Linked DNA regions of Oreochromis niloticus. The protein of the gene in region 1 binds, or shares a complex with, the protein of each later gene. Links are inferred from orthologs where the notes say so. Each region holds a gene or a part of one and is shown in the gene's direction. Other genes may lie near its edges.

Region 1 (3,752 bases):
AAAATAAATTAAAAAAAATATAGACAACAGATACTGACTGATTTTTTTAAGATATTACCATATGACATAAGAGCTTTTAAGAGAATAATGCAAGATTTGCTATTATGCCTTCAAATTGACACCTTCTGTCAACATGTAAGCACTATTTTATACAAAAAGATGTATTTTTATTTTAGGAAGTCATTTTAAATGTAGAATTATTGCAATATGTGATTTTTAACAGTAAAGTCAGTCATCAACACAGAGAAACAAGGGGCCTGCAGTCCTAAATGTTGAAATTAACCCCGACATCAGCGTTACAATCTTATATTAGATCTAATAGCACCTACATGATTGTTCAAAATTATCTATAAAATTCATTTAAATTAAAAACAAGTAAGTTTGTAAGTTTAAATTGATGTAAGTTCAAATTCACTGTCGTGTAAATTTTAAACAGTAGAAGAAAAAAAATAGTGCAGATCCAGAAAGTTTTTACATCAAAACCAGTTTTGTTCTACTTCCCCTATGTGCTGGAAGGCTTCTCCTCTTCCTCACTGTTTTTAAACAATGGCTGACAACCAACATATTAAGTTCTGCCATCTTCTGTTCCCAAGAATGGACATGGTAATAAATCCTACCCATAAATCGAAGCCACTGGACACTAATGTGGTAATGCTGTGCTCCTCCATTCCACACTTCCTCTGCTTCCTGATCATATGTTGTGACTCGTGGCCCCACTTAGTACACTATGTGACCGCGCGCATTACCGTCTCCTCAGCCTGATAGTGTTCACTGTTTATATAAAGCTGCAGGATGCTCTCCTGTTACTCAGTGTTTGAGTTTGCTTCTTTATTGGTGTTTGGTACAGTGGCGTCATCTTGTGGACAGTGTGAACATTTCCTCACCGCGTTTACGCGACCGTTCAGTTTGGATGTAGCAGGTTTCCGTAGAGAGGAGGAAAAGCGTCGCCCTAGCAACGGAATGATCAGCAGCAGGATTCTTCTGCAGCGGGTTGAATCTGTCATGAAATAGAAACGCATTCAGCTTCTGGTTTACTAACTAAAGCCGTAATGGCTGCAAGCAACCCATCCGTGTTTCTTCTCACGGTGAACGGACATATTGAGGGAGCGAACGTGCGTGGGCTTTCTGTGTTTTAGCCTAGCCTTGCAGCTGATTGTTCAGCTAGCATTAGCACCCCCTGAGATAGCTTGTGCCATGGATTCGTCTCATTTCTCGGTTCGTTTACCCTTGTGTACAGGTGTTAAGCTGATATCTGTGTTGTATTTCAGTTTCCAGAGTATGACAACTTGTACTGCAAATATTGTTTTGTCTACGGCCACGACTGGGCTCCCACCACGGTGAGTAGCGTGATGCAATATAAAATTACAGTGTTGTGTTTAGTAAAGCCACAATTAGCCTGAAAAGGGGTCATAAAGTCTTTACTAAATAACAAATGGTTAAAGTACAGCCCCTACTGAAAGTTCGTGTGTTTGTTTGTTTTCCTTCTATAGGGGTTGGAGGAAGGCATCACACAAATCGCCAGTAAAAGCAGTCAAGCATCGCACAGGTTGATATGGAACTTCCCACTGGCAACAACATTTAAGAGCACAAATCCATCTGGATGTGAGCATTACACAAACACACTCAAAAACACGTGGTTAATTAGGAACAGTTGCCTTCTGTTGACAAAAATATTAGATCCTTTAGAAGAAGTATAGAGAATGGCAAATTAGTTGCAGTGTGTCTTTGCAGATCAAGAGAAAGTATATGATAGAGTGACAAGAGATGAACTGTAGTACGGACAGACAGCCAACCAAGTATGTGAGAATCAACCGTCCAAAGTGTACAAGAGAGGTGAAAAAGAGTGCAGGCTGGGTGGAGTGGGTGGAGATGAGTGTCAGGGGCGATTTGTGATAGAAGGATAGCAGCATGAGTGAAAGGGAAGGTTTAAAGGATGGTGGTGAGATCTGTTATGATGCATGGTTTGGAGTCTGGGAGTGACCAGGATGGATGGGACTGGAAATTAATATATCAGCGGGACCACTCAGGTTGAGCAGTTTGGAGACAGTTAGACATGGAGGGAGGGAAGGTGGAAATGCTGGACAAAGGATGCTGAATATGGAGCTGTTAGGCAGGAGGAAAATAGGAAGACCACAGAGGAAGATGTTAGATAGGTGAGATTGAGGCAGATGATCTGCTCTGGTGACCCCTAAAGGGAGCAGCTGAAAATAGAAGTAGAAGTAATATCTAAAACTTATTGTAGACAGAGAATTTATGTATTAATTAATGGGTTCATTTTCCAGGGCCTCAGCTCGTGGTGAGTGTTTATGGTCCAGATGTTTTTGGCAACGATGTAGTCAGAGGCTATGGAGCAACACACATCCCCTTCACACCAGGACAGTCAGTACTGCTTTCATTTACTTATCCTTAGGGGTTTTTTTTGGGGGGGGGGGGTTGCCCTACACAAGTACCATTTTCAAATAACTTGTGCTCACCTTTGAGCTATGTCAGAATGTAGACACCACTTGCTTCTTTCAGCAGGAAGAGCGTGAAACAGAAAATAACCTTATTTTTATTCTTCAGGCATACGAAAACCATTCCCATGTTTGTTCCTGAGCCCACATGGAGACTTCAGAAGTTCACAGGGTGAGATGTGTGCTCAGTGTGCAGTCTTCTCGTCTCTCTGCCAGTGGCTCGGGTGGCTTATGATCTCAGAGCAGTACAAAAAAGTTAATGTTCCACCATGTCTATCTGCGCAAGACCTGAGCTAAAGATAGGCTCTTATTACCTGTGTGGTGAGAATAATTAACATTGTTTTCCTGCTTCTGTGATCAGTATGCGGAAAAACACAAAGGTATTCCCACGTTATCTCCTGACAACCTAAGGTTGTGTAACTTTGGTGGCATGCCAAAGTTATGCCATTTGTTGTCCTGACAGTGTAACTGAAATAAAACAGCAGCAGCACACTTTTTAAGGGCTTTTCTTCCTCTTGTTTTAGCCACTTGTATCAAAGTATCAAGTTAAGGTTAAATTGCCTTAAAAAGCCCTCCAGAGTAGACTGAGAAAACGATGTACATCTCAAGCTAAATGCATATTCTTAAGCCAGTTTGTGAACCTTTCTGTGTACGACAATTTTTTTTTTTCCTCTCCTCTGTTCAGGTGGTTGACGGGGCGGCGGCCTGAATACACAGATCCTAAAGTGGTGGCCCAGGGTGAGGGCAGAGAAGGTGTGTGGCTCTTGTCTGCATTTCTTTACTGTCCCAAAACTACCACGTTGTGCTAAAGTCACACCAGGGAAAATGAAAGGAGTCCAGTCTAGTGCGATTAACTTCGTGTTGCTGTTGAAATGGTTGTTTCTCCTATAGCAGTTTTTATTCTAGTGACTGAGCCTTTAGATTCACAGCAGATCAAATTACACAAGTTACTTATTACTCTGCAGCGTATTTTCCAGGCTCTGGACTAAAACAAAAACTCTGTCTTATATTTAATGTTGCAGTGACTAGAGTTCGTTCGCAAGGCTTCGTCTCAGTCTCCTTTCTCATCATGACTAAAGACATGAAGAAGATGGACTATGACACGGGACCATCAGGCCCGGCAAACAAGCCCTCCGCCACATCTGGCTGGTCAACAGAGGAACAACCATAAAACGTGTGGCAACATTAACAGACTGAAGGAAATTTGGGCCAAATAACACGTCTCCTCATGTTACGAGCCCCTGAAGGCGACGTTTTTTCCCCTCACAGTGACAATCCCGTGTTCAACTGAGACACCAG
Region 2 (3,752 bases), on another chromosome or scaffold:
TAGTGTTGATGGATTATTATTTCAACAGCTTTCTTTAATGGAAAAATACCTTTATGAAAACTTTAATCACACTTTAAAGTTTAGATTTTTGCGGGGATTTTCCTTACTATAAAATCAAATCATGCTATCGTGAACTTTTTTTTTAATAATATTTATTTTAATTAAGTTTAGATTTTTTTGAAAAAGTGCACACATATTTGAAGACACGACACACTAAACTTGAGCTGTTAGCTGCTCGGCTAACTAGCTGCTAGCATTATCCCACAGATCCCCCACCCCCCTCTCACCGATAATCATGGTCTCGTCCGGAATCTCCTCGATGAAGCATTTCTTCTCGGTCTCTCCGATGTGAAAGTACAGTGCGGAGACGAAGCTGCACAAAACGTTCAGGAGTAAAACTGAAAACAGACACGGCTGCATCCTGATCCGGAGCGACGCCATCTTCCTGCCGGGACACACGGAACTCACACTGAGCATGCGCCTGTCACAGCAGTGCCACGTAAACCCTTGCGGCACTCTGGCCAATCGGCTAACCGCAGGAGGATACTGGGTGTCGTAGTTCTAAACGCTCTGGGCTTCTAAAATGAATGATAAATAATTTTATCATGATTAATCATTTATTTTTAGTTTATGTACTTAAAAAAATACTCAAAATGTGCGTTTATGAGACATTGTTTAAAAAAAAACAAGAGGCTTCTGAACTCTTTGCCCCCTCTCTCTCACGGACAATAACCATATCCAACTTCTAAATATTACTTGTCATGTTGTATGTTGTTGCTGGGGACTGTTTTATTGCACTGGAGTTATATTTACACTTATTATTATTTTTATTCACGCAATTTCATTGTTTTCTGACAATGACAATAAATATTTGAATTGAATTGAATTTTATTTAGCAAAGGAAAACAAATATTTAATTTCATAAGTAAAACTGAGTTGTTATTAAAATGCTTTGATGTATGCCTGTTATTATTATTTTGTATTACTGTAAGACCACGAAAACAATCTCGTGGTCTTTTACTGTGAAAGACCAAAGCGGGAAAAAGCCTTTTTCACACATGCGTAGACCAAATCAAACGGTATCCACGGCAACAGGGCTGAAGCGGACATGGCGCCCGGTGAGTGTGAGGTTTTTGTTGTTGATAAATCGGTAAAGGTGCAGGGTTAAAGTTTTAAATATTTCATAGGTTAAAGTCAGTGGAGAGTTTACTGGTCGAATAAAACTGTATATGGTTATTTATTTTTGAGCAGGCTGAGCGTGGTCAGAGCAGCGAACACGTCAGGTTTCTGTCAGCTCATCAAACCACAGCAGTCAGAGAGACGCTAACATTACTGATAAAGAACCGCAGCACATGTTTTTACACAGAAACAGCAGCTGCGTTTCCTTATTTACTCTCTTCAGCTCAGTTAGTCACATTGAAAAGACTGAAAACAAAGATGCTAAAGCCTAAAAAACAACACATTAAACAGGAAGTTTAAAAATATCAGTTTTAGTCTGACTTTTAAGAGTCCACAGATCTCAGACACTCAGAGCCTGACAACATGACCACGGGAAGCTGCTGACAGCGTATGGATGTTAAAATTCACAGATGTACGTAGGTTCCTGTCCCTGGAAAGCTCTAAAGGTCAAAACCATACTCTTAAAGTGCACTCTGAAGCAGCTGAATCAGCAGTGACTCAGTCTGAACCCTCACAGCGGCACTCTGAATGACCTGCAGACGTTCTAGCGAAGCTTTGTTAAGACAAGAGAACAAAGAAATTTGAAAATTGCTATAATTCAAAAGTGATGACATAGATGCATGAACGACAATCCCCAGTTCAGACATCCTGGAGCGCAAAGCTGCTTTATAAAGAATAGAATAATAAAAGAATATAAATAAATTATTAAATGCAGTAAAAACAATCACAGACATTAGAAACGTCAAAGATATGCCAAAAGAGACAGAAGAAAGAAAGCACACCTGCAAATCTGTGTGTACAACGAAATCACTTAAATAAATATTTAAACATTTTATATCATTAATAATATTATCAAGATCACCAATACAATCAGCAGGTTAATCAGTAATCTGATCTGTCCTGTTTGTGGTCTGTAACTCACTCTTCTGCTTCCTGTTTCCACTTTTTTTCCTGCAGGGAGCCAACCAATCGTATCCTTCACCTGACTCTAACGCAGAGCTGCAGGTCATGTGACTTTGTGCCTGCCGTTGTTTCTCCTTGACCTCCTCTTCCTCAGCTCTCGTCCGCTCCTCTGCAGGTGCTGTTCTACCTGAACAGCTGGTACTTTGCTGCCTTCTACCTGGCCGAGGTCCTCATGTTCATCTATAAAGGTGTGTGAGAGCATCCTCCTCTACCTCCTCTTTCTCCTGCAGCGCAGAACTCAGAGACAGAGTTTGAGAAATGGTGCCGTTCACGCAGACGATTAAATGGGACAGAGAATTGGGCTTTTTGACCGAGCGCTGCGAGCTCGAGCTGAACTGGGACTGAGTTTGAGGGGCACTTGATTTACCGTCGAAGCTTCCAAGCTCAGAAAGTGCACAGTCATAGCCCGGCTACGACTGTGCCGGGCTACAGTCGGAGAGAAATCGGAGTCCTTCAGGAGGTCTGCTGATGTACGCCTAACCCACAAAAGTCTGAACTCAGTCCAATGTGCTTTTATTTTTTAAGATCGAGTCACATTTAACTTAACATTTTATTTTTACATTAAAAAAGCTTAATATTCCTGTTTTTGTTCAGCTGCAGCCTGAAACTCACTTTGTTAAGAAGTCATACGTGGGTCCATCGTTGCTGTAGAACTTTATTTAAGCAGGTTAAATCCAATTAACAGCCTCCACAGTTTAAACTGGAGGAGAGGATTATGATGGTGATGAAGATGATGGTGTTTGTTAAGATGGAGAGGCTGATGATGATGGGGTCATATTGATGTTGATGGTGATGATGATGGTGATGGCGTTCTGATGTCTGCTCTCTGCAGGAGTTTTGTTGCCGTACCCGTCAGATAACCTGGTTCTGGACGTCGTGCTGCTGCTGCTTTTCCTCGCTCTTGAGATTCTGCGGATCTTTTACGGTGAGCAAAGTCACGTCTCATTTTGAATAAATCTTTATTTATAACAGGAATGGTCTTTCATGTCCTTTAAGAAGTCAGATAAGATGATTTTATCTGTCTTGAGTTCATGCTCTGCTGCTCCTGCCACCTCCTATTTAATTCAATTCAATTTAATTCAATTTTATTTATATAGCACCAAATCACAACAACAGTCGCCTCAGACATTTATGTGTCTGACAACAAAGTGCTTCACAAAAACATGTCGTGTACACACACACACATACACACACACACACACACACACACACACACACACAACACGCACGTCACAAACTGAGTGTCAAACTGCGTCTCCATCCAGGCTGGAAGGGAAACCTGTGCGAGCGCTCTCTGGCTTCCTGCATGTCGCTCTTTGTCCTGCTCCCCTGCACCGCGCTCGCCGTGTACTACCTTCTGCTGCAGACTTTCGTCCTACGCCTCGAGTTCCTGCTCAACGCCGTGCTGCTCTGCTTCTACGGCCTCGAGTTCCTGCTCGGGCTCATCTCCATATCCGCCTTCTCCAGGTGATGGCGTCCTCATGTGGGCTTTTTGGGTCGGTACAAATCTTAGTCGTTTCCTTAAATACTAAAGTTCATACTTTACGTCTTCTTCCGCAGGGCCAAAGTGTACTGAGGAGCAAACGCCACAGGACGAGTCAGCAGAGGTT

Evidence for each region. The genes of interacting proteins can lie anywhere in the genome.
Region 2: b9d1 (region 1) and tmem216 share a complex: the UniProt entries of both Homo sapiens proteins name them as parts of the tectonic-like complex. The link is inferred for Oreochromis niloticus from reciprocal best matches to the Homo sapiens genes B9D1 and TMEM216.

Annotation. Positions count from the first base shown.
Region 1 is NC_031969.2:13,175,464-13,179,215, forward strand, and holds the start of b9d1 (B9 domain-containing protein 1), read left to right. Parts: upstream 1-904; 5' UTR 905-1,049; coding exon 1,050-1,112; intron 1,113-1,268; coding exon 1,269-1,337; intron 1,338-1,490; coding exon 1,491-1,602; intron 1,603-2,282; coding exon 2,283-2,379; intron 2,380-2,562; coding exon 2,563-2,625; intron 2,626-3,138; coding exon 3,139-3,206; intron 3,207-3,475; coding exon 3,476-3,624; 3' UTR 3,625-3,752. UniProt on the Homo sapiens protein: Component of the tectonic-like complex, a complex localized at the transition zone of primary cilia and acting as a barrier that prevents diffusion of transmembrane proteins between the cilia and plasma membranes.
Region 2 is NC_031966.2:8,581,445-8,585,196, reverse strand, and holds the start of tmem216 (transmembrane protein 216), read left to right. Parts: upstream 1-1,031; 5' UTR 1,032-1,108; coding exon 1,109-1,118; intron 1,119-2,136; coding exon 2,137-2,150; intron 2,151-2,236; coding exon 2,237-2,330; intron 2,331-2,974; coding exon 2,975-3,067; intron 3,068-3,407; coding exon 3,408-3,609; intron 3,610-3,702; coding exon 3,703-3,718; 3' UTR 3,719-3,752. Other genes in the region: tmed9 (transmembrane emp24 domain-containing protein 9), read right to left, coding at 288-477. UniProt on the Homo sapiens protein: Part of the tectonic-like complex which is required for tissue-specific ciliogenesis and may regulate ciliary membrane composition.